Stegostoma tigrinum: one gene and its partner. The protein of the gene in region 1 interacts with the protein of each later gene in a pairwise test. Links are inferred from orthologs where the notes say so. Each region holds a gene or a part of one and is shown on either strand. Other genes may lie near its edges.

Region 1 (7,392 bases):
ATGGATTTGGTCCAGTGGATTCAAGAAGGATTCCTGACACAGTATGTAGATAGACCAACATGAGGAGAGGCCACTTTGGATTTGTGCTTGGCAATGAACCGGACCAAGTGTTAGACCTGTTGTTAGGAGGGCATTTTGGCAGTAGTGATCATCACTCTGTTTCTTTTACAACAGTCATGGAAAAGGAAGGTACACACAGCAGGGTAAGGTTTATAATTGAGGGAAGGGTAATTACAATTCAGGCTAGAAGGCTAAAGGAGGTGCATGTTTGTAAGGAAGATGCACAAGGAATTTTGAGGAAATTGAAGATAGATAAGTTCCTGGGCCTGATGGGATTCAATGAGAAGTGAGGGAAGAGATCACAGGGCCTTTGGCGATGATCTTTGCATCCTCACTGTCCACGGGTATAGTGCCGGAAGATTGGAGAGTGGCAAACGTCATTTCCTTGTTCAAAAAACAGAATAGGGATAACCCTGGAAATTACAGGCTAGTTAGTGTTATGTCAGTGGTGGGCAAATTATTGGAAAAGGCTCTGACAGAGAGGATTTATGATCACTTGGATAGGCATAGTTTGATTCGTGATAGTCAGCATTGATTTGTGAGGGGTAGATCATGCCTCACAAACCTTATTGAATCCTTTGAAGAGGTGACCAAACACGTGGATGAAGGTAGAGCAGTGGATGTGGTATACATGGATTTAAGTAAGGCATTTGATAAGGTTCCCCATGGTAGGCTCATGCAGAAGGTAAGGAGGCATGGGATAGGGAAAGTGTGGCAGATTGGATTCAGAATTGGCTGACCCTTAGAATACAAAGGGTGTTAGTGGATGGAACATATTCAGCATGGTGCTCAGTTAAGAGTGGTGTACCACAAGGATCTGTTCTGGGTCCTCTTCTATTTGTGAATTTTGTAAATGATTTGGATGTAGGAGTGGAAGAGTGGATTAGTAAGTTCGCAGACAATACAAAGGTGAGTCGCTTTGACAATAGTGTGGATGGCTATTCTAGGTTACAAAGGGACATTGATAGGATGCAGAGGTGGGCTAAGAAGTGGCAGATGGAGTTTAACCCTGAAAAGTGTGAGGTGATACATTTTGGAAGGACAAATTTGAAAGCAGAATACAGGGTTAATGGAAAGATTTTTGGCAGCGTGGAGGAGCAGAGGGATCTTGGGGTTCATGTCCACAGTTCCCTAAAAGCTGCCACCCAGGTGGATAGAGTTGTTCGCAAAGCGTATAGTGTGTTAGCTTTCATTAATAGGGAGTTTGGGTTCAAGAGCTTTGAAGTTATGCTCCAGTTATACAAAACCCTGGTTTGGCCACATTTGGAGTATTGTGTCCGGTTCTGGTCGTCTCATGACAGGAAGGATGCAGAAATGTTGGAAAAGGTGCAGAGGAGATTTACCAGGGTGTTGCCGAGAATGGAGGGAGGGTCTTTTGAGGAAAAGTTGAGAAACCTAGGACTTTTCTCTTTATAATGACGAAGGATGAGAGGTGAATTGATAGAGGTGTACGAAATGATCAGAGGTATTGAGAGAGTGGATAGCCAGAGACTTTTTCCTAGGGGGGAGGTAGCTCATACGAGGGGGCGTAATTTTAAAGTGAGTGGAGGTAGAAATAGGGGAGACGTCAGAGGTAGGTTCTTTAGTCAGACAGTGGTAGGGGAATGGAATACATTGCCAGAGAGGGTAGTGGAGTCGGCCTCATTAGGGGCATTTACGTGGCATTTGGATGATAGTGTAAAGTAGGGGTGGAGGTTAGATAGACATAAGGCTTAGGGTAAAAGTTCGGCACAACATCTTTGTCCGAAGGGCCTGTACTGTTCTACGTTCTATGTTCAACATGGCTTTATGCAAGGCAGATCATTTCTTACTACCTTGATTGAATTTTTTGAGAAGGTGACGGAGGTGATCGGTGAGGGTAGAGCAGTGGATGTTGTTTACATGGATTTTAGTAAGGCTTTTGACCAGGTCCCTCATAGTAGGCACATCCAGAAGATTAAGACGCATGGAATCCACAGTGACTTGACAATGTGGGTTCAGGCTTGGCTTGCCATAGAAGACAGAGGGTAGTGGTGGAAGGCTGGTTTCTAGTCTGGAGGTCCATGACTAATGGTGTTTTGCAGGGGTCCGTGTTGGCAACTCTACACTTTTTAATACATATAAATGACTTACATGATAATATAGTTGGGTGGGTTATTATGTTTGCAGATGATACAAAGATTGGTGGAGTTGTGGATAGTGTAGAAGGTTGTCAAAGGATATAGCAGGATATCGCTCAATTGCAATCATGGGCAGATAAATGGCAGATGGAGTTTAATCTGGGTAAATATGAAGTGCTATGATTTGGGAGATCAAATGTTAACGAAACGTGTACAATTAATGGCAGAACTCTGAATGCCATTGATGTATAGAAGGAGATTGGGGTTCAAATCCATAGCTCCCTGAAAGTAGCCATACAAGTAGATAGGGGGTAAAGAACACGTGTGGCATGCTTGCCTTTATTGGTTGGAGAACTGAGTACAAGAGTCAGGATGTCATGCTGCAACTTATTAAGAATTTAGTTCGGCCACATTTAGAGTATTATGTTTAATTCTGGATGTGAGTTTGCTTGCTGAGCTGGAAGGTTAGTTTTCAGACGTTTCGTCACCATTCTAGGTAACATCATCAGTGAGCCTCCGACAAAGCGCTGGTGTTATGTCCCACTTTCTATTTATCTGTTTAGGTTTCCTTGGGTTGGTGATGTCGTTTCCTGTTCTTTTTCTCAGAGGATGGTAGATTGATTTGGAGCCAATGTGTTTGTGGATGGAGTTCCGGTTGGAATGCCATGCTCCTAGGAATTCTCGTGCGTGTCTCTGTTTGGCTTGTCCTAGGATGGATGTGTTGTCCCAATCAAAATGGTGTCCTTCCTCATCTGTATGTAAGGATACAAGTGATAGTGAGTCATATCGTTTTGTGGCTAGCTGATGTTCATGTATCCTGGTGGCTAGCTTTCTGCCTGTTTGTCACAATGTAGTGTTTGTCACAGTTCTTGAAAAGTATTTTGTAAATGATGTTTGTTTTGCTTGTTGTCTGTATAGGGTCTTTTAAGTTCATTAGCTGCTGTTTTAGTGTGTTGGTGGGTTGGTGGGCTACCCTGATGCCAAGAGGTCCGAGTAGTCTGGCAGTCATTTCGGAAATGTCTTTGATGTAGGGGAGAGCGGTTATGGTTTCTGGGCCCATTTTGTCTGTTTGTTCGGGTTTGTTGCTGAGAAATCGGCAGACTGTGTTCATTGGGTACCCATTCTTTTTGAATATGCTGTATAGGTGATTTTCTTCTGCTCTTCGTAGTTCCTCTGTGCTGCAGTGTGTGGTGGCTCGTTGGAATAATGTTCTAATGCAGCTTCGTTTGTGGGTGTCGGGATGGTTACTCCTGTAGTTCAGTATTTGGTCTGTATGTGTTGTTTTCCCGTAGACGCTGGTTCGAAGTTTCCCATTGACTGTTGGCTCTACTAGAAATAAATAGGGAGAGAGGGGGAAGCAGACCGAAGATGGATAGAGGAGAAGATAGGTGGAGAGGAGAGTATGGGTGGGGAGGTAGGGAGGGGATAGGTCAGTCCAGGGAGGAGGGATAGGTTAAGGAGGCGGGATGAGGTTGGTAGGTAGGAAATGCAGGAGTGGCTTGAGGTGGGAGGAGGGGATAGGTGAGAGGAAGAACAGGTCAGGGAGGCAGGGACGAGCTGGGCTGGTTATGGGATGCAGTGGGGGGAGGGGATGAGCTGGGTTGGTTTTGGGATGCGGTGGGGGGAGGGGAGATTTTGAAGCTTGTGAAATCCACATTGATACCATTGGGCTGCAGGGTTCCCAAGCAGAATATGAGTTGCTGTTCTTTACTAACGTGCTGCCTGAATTAAAAATTTCAAATTTTCACCATCTGCTTTTCAACGAAGGGCTTGACTACTCCCTTCACCACCGCATTTACCGTGAACCCGGCCTCGTCTACTGGCCCCGTCAATCTCCATGCATCTGAGATAACAAAGTGTGGAGCTGGATGAACACAGCAGGCCAAGCAGCATCTCAGGAGCACAAAAGCTGACGTTTCGGGCCTAGACCCTTCATCAGAGACGCTTTTGTGCTCCTAAGATGCTGCTTGGCCTGCTGTGTTCATCCAGCTCCACACTTTGTTATCTTGGATTCTCCAGCATCTGCAGTTCCCATTACCTGTGCATCCAGTCAGGCCCCGCCCTACCTCTGGTCCCGCCCATTCATCCGTAACGACCCAGCCTCCGCCCACCAGTCCTGCCTGCTACAGCGGGCCCCGCCCCCGAGCTTGCGTCAAGATGGAGGAGCTGCTTTCGGCTGCGTGTGAGACCATGGACTCGGAGGCGAACGATGATCTGCGGTTGCCGCTGCGGAACCTTGCGAACGGCCTGAGGGAGGTGGTGTCGCAGCTGCGAGGTGAGTTCGGCTGATTCCAGGGAGCAGGCCTCAGGATCTTCCAACAGCAGAGATCCCGGGGTTGGGGGAGAGGACTGCTGACACCAGACAGGGCCTCTACCTGAAGGACCCCACTTTGTCTGTGGGTGTACGGACATGTACTGGCATCTACCGCAACACCCGAGTGACAGTGAAAGGAGCGATAATGGGGTAACAGCCGGCCCTAGGAGCTCAGAGCCAGTGGAAATAGCGGCAGCAGTCTAGTGTTTGCGTGTAATTAGTGATAATGGGAACTGCAGATGCTGGAGGATCCGAGATAACAAAGTGTGGGGCTGGATGAACACAATAGGCACTAAGCAGCATCTCAGGAGCACAAAAGCTGACGTTTCGGGCCTAGTCTACCTGATCCAATCTTACAGGCTGGGATCCAATAGAGGGGCTCTAAGTTGTTTATATTCCTAATCGAGCCTCAAATGGACAAGTTCATCTATTTACTTCCTCCATATTGTTTCAGCAGACTTCTGACTAGCGTCCTATCTCCTTTCTCTGTCCCCTTCCCCGCCTTTTGAGTTAATATAAAACTCAGTTAGCTGTATTCTCATTTAAGTCCAAATACAGAAACAAAAATTCTGAAGTTTTTTAAAAAATGCAGAAAATGCTCAATGGGTCAGACATCAGCCGTGGCGAGAGATTCGGAATTAATATTTCAAGCCTGGAACCGTCCTGATGAAAAGTCTGAAATGTTAACTATTTCTTTACTCACCATTGTTGCTAACCCACTGTGTTCTTCAGCATTTCTGTTAATTTTACTTGCCTTCCTCCCTGTGCTCGTCATTTAGCATTGGCCTCTGGTATGTTACAGCTTTGCAAGTTTGAATTGCTTTTCTGTTATGTATGACTAAATTGAACACCCACTATTTTACTTGACCTTCCAAACAAGCCCTCCAAGAGATCTGTATAGTCAATTCCATTTGCCTGCGTGTCCCTCCTGTCAAACTGCATAATTTAATGTAGTTGTGGATGTTCTCTTCACTCCTCCCCGCCCCCAATAGTGAAGTTTAAGGGACCTTTAAATGTGTGTACAGCCATGAATGTAGTTAAACCTTGCACAGTCAAATCTTGTGGGTCAGTGAAAATAAAAATAAAGTCACTATTTTGCATCTTCTCAGTCTTTCATGCCTCTGCTCCTAACTCGACCAACTTTCCTGAATGCCCTTCTGCTCTCAACTCATAATTTGGAATCTTGTATTCTGTTTGGTTCTGTTTCACAACCCCTTTCCCATCATTGAAATTTTTTTTCTGTCTTGTCGCAGCCTTCGGTATCAATTTCAAGTCTTTGTTTTTATCTTTGAAGACTTCTAGCCATGTCCCACTCTGCCTCAGAAAGCTTCTTTAGCATCTTGGTCAGCCTCACTGTCAGTTTAGAAGGAGAAAGAAAATTACAAGTGCCTGATAATTTACAGGGTGCTATTTTAAAAGCAAAATCACGAATAGGATGTGGTCATTGCTTGCTGGGCCAGCATTTTTTGCCTGTATCTAGCTGTCCTTGAGAAAATGGTGGTGTTCTGCCACCTTGAATTGCGGTGATAAATTTGTGTAAGTACCTTCACAATGCCATTGCACCATAAGAAAAAGGAATGGGAGTGGACTGTTTAGTTCCTCAAGCCTGTTCTGTTATCCAGAAGATTCAGCCACTCCTCATATTCACTTTCCTGCCCTTTCCCTTGACCCTTGATTTGTCTACTGATCAAGAATTTCTCTATCTTGGCCTTGAATATGTGCAAGGTCTCTGTGGAAAGGAATTAAGGAGGGCTTTCTAAGATTTTGATCCAGTGACGTTCAAGGAGCGGCAATAATAAGTGACTTGGGAGGAAACTTGTGGATTAGACATGAATGTATGAAATAACTAATCAACAGTCATAAAACTGATAGACTGAAGTTCTGTTTGTTGAAAGCATTAGTTATCACAATTCTACCCTAAAGAAGAATAACTCACCAATAACTGATGACTTTTCAAAGATTTTTGGGTTATCAGTGGACTCAACACAGCCACTAACAAACCATTGTAATCATTTTTCTGAGGAGTAACACTTGGAAGAATGGTTCTCTTGTAATGCTGAAATTTGTCAGTGGTAGACCTAGCAAGATGATTGTTATACCTAATGGTATCAGAGATAATGGGAACTGCAGATGCTGGAGAACTCCAAGATAGTAAAATGTGAGGCTGGATGAACACAGCAGGCCAAGCAGCATCTCAGGAGCACAAAAGCTGACGTTTCGGGCCTAGACCCTTCATCAGAGAGGGGGATGGGGAGAGGGAACTGGAATAAATAGGGAGAGAGGGGGAGGTGGACCGAAGATGGAGAGTAAAGAAGATAGGTGGAGAGAGTATAGGTGGGGAGGTAGGGAGGGGATAGGTCAGTCCAGGGAAGACGGACAGGTCAAGGAGGTGGGATGAGGTAAGTAGGTAGCTGGGGGTGCGGCTTGGGGTGGGAGGAAGGGATGGGTGAGAGGAAGAACCGGTTAGGGAGGCAGAGACAGGTTGGACTGGTTTTGGGATGCAGTGGGTGGGGGGAAGAGCTGGGCTGGTTGTGTGGTGCAGTGGGGGGAGGGGATGAACTGGGCTGGTTTAGGGATGCAGTAGGGGAAGGGGAGATTTTGAAACTGGTGAAGTCCACATTGATACCATATGGCTGCAGGGTTCCCAGGCAGAATGAGTTGCTGTTCCTGCAACCTTCGGGTGGCATCATTGTGGCACTGCAGGAGGCCCATGATGGACATGTCATCTAGAGAATGGGAGGGGGAGTGGAAATGGTTTGCGACTGGGAGGTGCAGTTGTTTGTTGCGAACTGAGCGGAGGTGTTCTGCAAAGCGGTCCCCAAGCCTCCGCTTGGTTTCCCCAATGTAGAGGAAGCCTCACCGGGTACAGTGGATGCAGTATACCACATTGGCAGATGTGCAGGTGAACCTCTGCTTAAT
Region 2 (8,063 bases), on another chromosome or scaffold:
ATAAGTATTACCTGGCTGTTGATTCAAAGGGTCTCTATGCTACCACCTTTGGCAAATCTGTCCTGCAGATGGAACAGGTCATAGAGCGCTTACAAATCTGGCACAAGAACTTTGCAGGGTCAAATGGGCAGGGTGTACTTGTGTTCTTACATTGACGAAGCTAACACTAAACAATTCATAATGCTTAGCCACCCAAAAAGTAGTTACGGATAGAGAATCACTTGTAGTCTAAATTAGGTAAGGATTTGCTTCCCAAAAGGACACTGTGAATCAGGTGGGGTTTTTTTGCACTAGATTCATGCTTGCTATTACTGACGTGTTTTTTATTCTAAATTTATTTAACTGAACTTAAATTTCTCAACTGTCACAATGAGAAGTGAACTCCGGTTTTGGGTCATCTTCTGACTTACTGGTCCAGGAACATAATGAAACCCAATGCACACACTGCACACAAGAGAGTACAAGGAAGCAGAGTTGATCAGTACACCAACAAAGGATTTGAAATTTTAACAGGCAGGCATAGAAGTCAACAGGCAGGATGCTTGGGTGCACTTCTGTTAGAAGGTTAGTCTGTGCAGTAGCCTCTCAGCATTACAAACAGTAAATTTTCCAAATAATTGTTTGTATTTTGGCAGCACCTGCAAGCTATTTTGCCTCATTGTGACTTTTCTTATTTCTAACACTTCATTCCTCCAATTCCTAACTCCTAAGTCTGGATTCTAACGCTAAGAAAACTTTTACGTCATTTTAGGAATGAACGCATTGTTGGACAGTCTTCTCAAATAGATGTAGAATAAGTCACAGTATCTTTGAAGAGAAAGTTCTGTGAATATATGCCTAAAAGTTACAATAAATTTTAGGGTTATGAGATAAAGCAGAGGACAGAAACTAATTGGATAGCTGCCTTTAAGAAATGGCACAAGCACAATGAATCAATGGCATCCTTTTGTCCTGCATGTGTAAGCTTTGGAATAACCAGGGCTATCAATTCTATTCTCTCATCTTTCCCTGCCTTAAACTTTCAAGTGGAAACATAGTTAAAACTTAAACATGCCTTTTCAGATGCTGCTTTGCCTGATGTCCAGCATGTACCTCCATTACACATGCCAGGTGATGAGGCAGGACAGGACTGAAAATACTACACCGCACAACGTAGAGCAACTACAAGTTCACCGACAACACCACCATAGTGAGATGAATATCTAACAACGAAGAGTCAAAATACAGAAGGGAGACCGACAGTTTGGTGATATGGTGCAATGAAAACAATCTGTCTCTCAACGGCGGGAAAACTAAAGAACTGATCATCGACTTCGGAAAGAAAAAGGAGAACATGTCCCCATCCACATCAATGGAACTGAGGCTAACAGAGCGAGTAGCATGAAGTTCCTCAGTATGACGATAAACGATGACCTGTCCTGGACTTCCCACATAAATGCAACAGTAAAAAAGGCACAACGCCTCTTCTTCCTCAGGAAATTTGGCACACTCATAAGGCCCCTCGCCAACTTCTACAGATGCACCACTGAAAGCATACTGTCCAGGTGCATAATGGCCCGGTATGGCAATTGCTCTGCCCAGGACCGTAAAAAAACTACAAAAGGTGGTGTGCACAGCCCAGACCATCAGGGAAGCTAATCTTCCAAGCACAGACTCATAGATTTTATTCACAGAATCCATACAGTCTGAAAACAGGCCCCTAAGCCCAACAAGTCCACACTGCCCCTCAAAACATCCCACCTAGACCCATTCCTCAAACCCACCTAATCTACACATCCCTGAATACTACATGCAACCTAGCATGGTTAATCCACCTAGCCCACACATCTTTGGACTGTGGGAGGAAACCAGAGCACCTGGGGAAAACCCAAACAGACATGGGGAGAAGGTGCAAACTCCCTACAGTCTGAGGGGGAAAATCGAACCCAGGCCGCTGGCGCTGTGAGGCAGCAGTGCTAACCACTCAGCCACCGTGCCGACCTTGACTCCATTTATACAGCTTGCTCCCACAGAAAAGCAGCTAACATCATCAAAGAACCATTATACCTGGTAATGACCTCCTAAACCGCTTCCGTCAGGCATAAGATACAGAAGCCTGAACAGAAATACAAGCAGGTTCAGGAATAGCTTCTTTCCCGCCATTATCAAACTGTTCAATGAACTCCAGCCTCAAATAATCTAACACGTAACGTAACCTATATGCTTCTAAGTCTTTTTGATCTGTACATCCTTTGCTTGCTGTGATTTTCCTGTACCGCTCATAAACGAAGCTCTTGATTGCACATGTGGCGATAAAAACTAAATCAAATCAAATCAAATCAAATCAAATCAGAGACTAGACTTTGGCCAGATGAGTGAACTGACAGTACCCTACATAAAGGCTGAAGGGTCTATAGAAGGAGCTCAAGCACAGGGCAAAGGAAGAATACACTCCCTACAGCCATCAGAGGTGTCTCATGGGGCAGCACGGTGGCTCAGCGATCATCACTGCTGCTTCACAGGGCCAGGTTTGATTCTAGCCCCAGGTGACCGTACGGAGTGACCTGCAGAGAAGGGGCGGCAGTGTGTCGTTGCCAAGAGAGGGTGGGAACTGTCTTCAGGGGAGCACGGATCCGTTGCTAAGGCCTGGCCAACATGGCGGCGCCCCGTGTTTCCACCCGTTCGGCCGCCTGAGCCGCTGTCATACTCACTTGGTGTAATCCTCTCTGCGCTGGATGCGGTACCGGCGTAGCACTTTCACTTCGCTCAGGTTATTGTCCACCTCCCAGGAGATAAAATCGACTTTTTTCAGCAGCTTCTGCTCGTGGTACTTCAGCTTGCGCACCATGGTTACCGGGGTCCTCGATGAGAGGTCGTGCTGCCTGCGGAGCTGCCTGTTCTCAGCAAGAATACCACAGAGTTGGCAGAGACTGTGTACAGAGATGGAGAATGAAGGAATTTGTACAGAAGGGGGAGAGACAGAGAATGAAGGAATTTGTACAGAAGGGGGAGAGACAGAGAATGAAGGAATTTGTACAGAAGGGGGAGAGACAGAGAATGAAGGAATTTTTACAGAAGGGGGAGAGACAGAGAGAGAGAGAGAATGAAGGAATTTATACAGAAGGGGAAGAGACAGAGAGAGAATGATGGAATTTATGCAAAAGGGGAAGAGACAGAGAGATAATGAAGGAATTTGTACAGAAGGGGAAGAGAGAGAGAGGGAATGAAGGAACTTATACAGAAGGGAGGGAGAGTGCAGGAGGGAAGGAGAGCAATTAGGTAAGGAGAGAGTGAGTGGAGGAATTTATATCCAGGGGAGAGAGAGTGTGTGTGTGAGGGAACTAATACAGGAGTGAAGGAGTTTCTGCAGGAGGAGGGGAGGGTGTGAGGGAGCTACTACAGGAGGAAAGGAGGAGGAGAGGCAATCGTGCTCTACAAGAGAGTGTGAGAATATACAAAGGGGATGGAGAGAAAACTATAGAGAAGAAGGAATAAATGGGCAGAAACGATATACAGAAGGACGAGAATATACTGGGTGGGTGTGGTGGAGAGGCTGTGTTTCTCTAGGGCAGAGGGAATATAGAGGGACAGCAAGATAAAACCAACAGGGGAGAGAGCAAAAAGTGACAAAAATAGGTGAATGAATATGATATGGGAAAATCAGAAGTCATGAATTTTGGAAGAAATGATGAAGACCGAATATTATTCAAAACGGGGAAAGATTGCAGGGAGCTGCAGCACAGAGGGATTTGGGGAGACCTCATAGAAACAGCTAGCATCCAAGTTTAGGAGTAGGCAATTAGGTTGTTGGAATTAGTTTCAAAGGAAATGGAATACAAAAATAGGGGTCTTGCTAAACTATGGAAAGCATGAGTCAGCCCATAGCTGGAATACTATGAACAATTTTGGTCCACTCATTTAAGGAAAGATGTACTGGCATTGGAGCCCAGAGAGGTTCACGAGGTTGATCTCAGATGTGGAGGAATTCTGTTATGAGGAGAGGGCTTGTACTCATTGGAGTTTAGAAGTGTGAGAGGAGACCTTATTGAAACACAAGTAGTTCTCCTGTAACATGATAGTTGCATTCTTGCATAACCTCATGCAAAAGAAAATCGCATTATAGGGAATTCATGATAAGAAATTGCTGTACCTGTACAGCAGAAAGTTTGTGTTACGCAAACAGCGTCCACTATTCATCAATCTCATTACAGCCAATTCACTTCAACAAAAAAAGTGTTATAGCAGAACTACCTGCGTTAGATTCTTAGGGGACTTGGCTCGGTAATGTGAAGAGGTTGTGGGAGACTCTAGGAGCAAAGGCAACAATGTCAGAGTAAGAAGTAGCCCATTTAAAACAGATTAGGAGGATTATTTCTGTGGAATTCTTTACCATAGAGGGCTGTCAAGGCTGAGCCATTACGTATATTCAAGGCTGAGATAGTTTTCTAATCAGTAACAGAATCGAGTGTTATGGGGAAAAGGCGGGAAACTCGAGTTGAATATTATCAGATCAGATGTGATCTTCTTGAATAGCAGACAGACTTGATGGGCATAATGGCCTGCTGCTATGTCTTACAGTCTCATTTACAGGAAAGAGAGTAGTTGAATCTACAAGAGTGAGGTGAGCATCTATGAGTGAGAAGTGAGGCTTATGTAGGAGTCTTTGTGCTTCAGGGAAAAAAATCTCCATTCATTTAACCCCACCCCCACCCCTTCAGGCTACCTTCCAGCCAATTAAGGGAGTATAGGCACTGTTTTAATGTGGGAAACTCATTTGTGCAGTGCCAGATCCAACAAAAAACAATGTGGTCATGTCAATATATCTTGTGATACTGATACTGTCTGGGAATAGCCTGTGCCTTACCCTCTGACGCTCCAGGGAAATTAGCCCCAGCCTGCTTAGCCTCTCCTTATAGCTCAGTCCTTCAACTCTTTCAAATTTCACAACATCCTTCCTGTAGCAGAGAGACCAGAATTGCACAAGATATTTCGAAAGTGGCCTAACCAATGTCCTCTACAGCCTTCACATGACCAACTCCTATACTCAATTCAATGACCAACAAAAGCACACAGTGCTCCAATAGTGGCCAAACCAATGTCCTGTACAGCGCAACATGACCTTCCAACTATCATTCCCGTAGCATCTATACCCTGGAAAATGAAGCTACCAATCCTGTCCAACCTCAAGCCACATCCCTATAATTACTATGACATCCCAGTCCCATGTTCCCAACTCACCCTAGGTTCATCTTCCTTACTTTTTAGGCTTCTTGCCTTGAAATAAATGCAGTTTAATTTATCAGTCCTGCCTCATTCTCTGCTCTGTCCTGACTGTTTGACTTGATCTTTTTCCAACTGTACTCATGCAAAAGAAAATCGCATTATAGGGAATTCACGATAAGAAATTGCTGTACCTGATTGATCTCTTTCCTCACTATCTCCCTGAGTCCCAGCACCACCACCCGCTTTGTTAGTTAAAATCTTCCCGAGCAGTTCTGTCTCCCAGTCTGTAAATTAGACCCCTTCCAATTCAGGTGCAATCCACCCTACTTATAAGGTCACTTCTACCCAAGAAGACAGTCCAATGATCCAAAAAATGTGAATCCTTCTCCCCTGCACCAGCTCCTCAACCATGCATTCATCTGCTCCACCCTCCAATTCCTATCCTCACTAACTCGTGGCACAGGGGGTGATCCAGATATTACTATCCTCAAGGAACACCTTTTAAAATTCCTGTCTAACTTTCTCTATTCTCTCCTCAGAATCACATTCTTTTCTCTTCCTGTGTTGTTAGTTCCAATGTGTACAAAAACCTCTTGCTGATCCCTCTCCCCTTTGAGAATATTCTGCACCTTCTCTGAGATATCCTTGACCCTGGCACCAGGGAGGCAACACAGCATTCTGATTTCTCACTGTTGGCCGCAGAAACATCTGACTGTGCTTCTGACTAGAGAGTCCCCTATTGCAGTCGATCACTTGAAACCTGACATACCCCTCACTATTAGAGCCAGTCTCAGTACCAGAAACCTGGCTGTTAGTGCTACATTTCCCTGAGAGTCTGTCATCCCCTATATTTTCCAAAACAGCATGCATGTTTCAGATGGGGATAGCCACAGGAGATTCCTGAGTGACTCGCCTCCCTTTCCTGGTGGTAACTCATCTGCCTGACTGTATCTGTGGTTTTCCTCCCTTCCCACAGCAGCCATCTATCCCATCCCCTGTCTTCTGTAGACTCCTCATTGCCTTTAACTGCTGGTCCGTGCAAGCTGATAGAATTCACAGTCAAACACGCTTCATGCAGATGTGATCATCATGAAACATGGAAATTCTCCCTAATCTTCCACATTCAACAGTTAGAGCACATCACTCTACGAAAGGACATCTTTGCATCTTAACTGTCTGCCAGAAAATAGCAGTGGTATTGCTCTTAAAAAAAAAACTCCTGGCTAACTTAGTACCTATATTTTATATGTTTAACATTTAACCAGGAGAGAGATTTCAGTAAAGCATATAATCAAAAAAGAACCCATTCTACTCACTATTGTAGCTTTACAAAACAAACAGGAATGTTACAGTTTAAAAAGCCACTTAGCTGCTCCCCTGCTGGGAGCTCTCCCACACGGGTTTCTAAGACTCAGCCAGCATCCATTAATACCTACCAAATTATTTCAAACATCCCTCCTCAAAAGGATACATGTGGTGAAAACGACAGATGATCCGCATAAACAGACAATAAATTTTCCCTACACTCTCTCAAAATAAATGCACAATTTGAACAGATCTGCTCTCAATTTCCTTAAGTGATTACTGGTCATAAGAAATATCTCATAAAATAGTGAATGATATTCCTGACATAATGGGCCACCTGTGAGAGCTTTGAACATGGTTTACGAGTTGAACAGACACTGGATGCCCATTCTCGCTAAGCCCAGTTCTACAAGTAGAAAGGCTTTGGACTTGCGCAGCATTCTACATAAACATTGGAGATATGTTGAACCAGATGTTAAGGTGCAGCCTCCTCAGATTATGTACAAGAGGCTGGAAACTCTGACACTGGATACCTGTTATTAAGTGGCATCGTTACAATTTTTGAACAGTTCCAAAAATCTCAGAAAAAAAATGCCTGTAAGTACATTACTTTAAGCTGTTTGAATTAGGAACAATGGTACATTTTCTTCGAGTGAAATTTCTCTTTGAACATAAATGCAAAAAAAACTCACCGGGGTAATGAATAAGGAAATCCTGGCACATTGGAATGGAAAACCTCTATGGCATCAATTGAACCACTGAATGCTAATCTCCCAAATATTTGTGGATTCCGCTGTACATGGCAGTGTGACTCAGAAAACTTTTAAGAGAAACAACAGTAACATTGTGCCATGAATTCTGGTGAGAGCGTTAATGGAAAATTATAACAGTAAGACAAAGTCTCAAAATATGCACGTGGCTTTCTCCTGGCATCGTCATCCAGATAATTGAAATATTATTTTACATCTAGAATTAGAATTAGCTTTATTATCATGTGTACTCAAATGAGTACAGTGAAACATTTATAAGAAGGTTACCTCAGAGTACAATGGGACCTTGATCAGGTGAGGCAATGGGCCAAGGAGTGGCAAATGAGGTTTATATAAATGTGATATGTTGCATTTTGGAAATTCAATCAGGGAAGGACCTATACACTTAATGGTAAGGTCCTGTGATTGTTGCTGAACAAAGCGACCTTGGAGTACAGGCTAATAGTTCCTTGAAAGTGGAGTTGCAAGTAGACAGGTAGTGAAGAAGGTGTTTAGTATGTTTGCCTTTATTGGTCAGTGCTTTGTGTGAGAGTTGGAAGGTCATGTTGTGGCTGTACAGGACATTGGTTTGGCCACTTTTGGAGTACTGTGTGCAGTTCTGGTCTCCTTGCTGTAGGAAGGATGTTGTGAAACTTGAAAGGGTTCAGAAAAGATTTACAAGGATGTTGCCCGGGTTAGGAGGTTTGAGCTATAAGGAGATGCTGCATAGGCTGGAGTGTCAGAGGCTGAGGGGTGATGTAATAGAGTTTTATAAAATCATGAGGGGCATATATAAGGGTAAATAGC

What was found. The genes of interacting proteins can lie anywhere in the genome.
Region 2: the proteins of ccndbp1 (region 1) and imp3 interact in binary tests that used the Homo sapiens proteins (3 or more experiments, as listed by UniProt). The two-hybrid records come from large-scale screens. The link is inferred for Stegostoma tigrinum from reciprocal best matches to the Homo sapiens genes CCNDBP1 and IMP3.

Annotation. Positions count from the first base shown.
Region 1 is NC_081372.1:47,265,952-47,273,343, forward strand, and holds the start of ccndbp1 (cyclin-D1-binding protein 1 homolog), read left to right. Parts: upstream 1-4,290; 5' UTR 4,291-4,316; coding exon 4,317-4,434; intron 4,435-7,392. UniProt on the Homo sapiens protein: May negatively regulate cell cycle progression. May act at least in part via inhibition of the cyclin-D1/CDK4 complex, thereby preventing phosphorylation of RB1 and blocking E2F-dependent transcription.
Region 2 is NC_081361.1:10,773,739-10,781,801, forward strand, and holds the start of imp3 (U3 small nucleolar ribonucleoprotein protein IMP3), read right to left. Parts: upstream 3,095-8,063; 5' UTR 2,828-3,094; coding exon 2,691-2,827; intron 1-2,690. UniProt on the Homo sapiens protein: Component of the 60-80S U3 small nucleolar ribonucleoprotein (U3 snoRNP). Required for the early cleavages during pre-18S ribosomal RNA processing. Part of the small subunit (SSU) processome, first precursor of the small eukaryotic ribosomal subunit.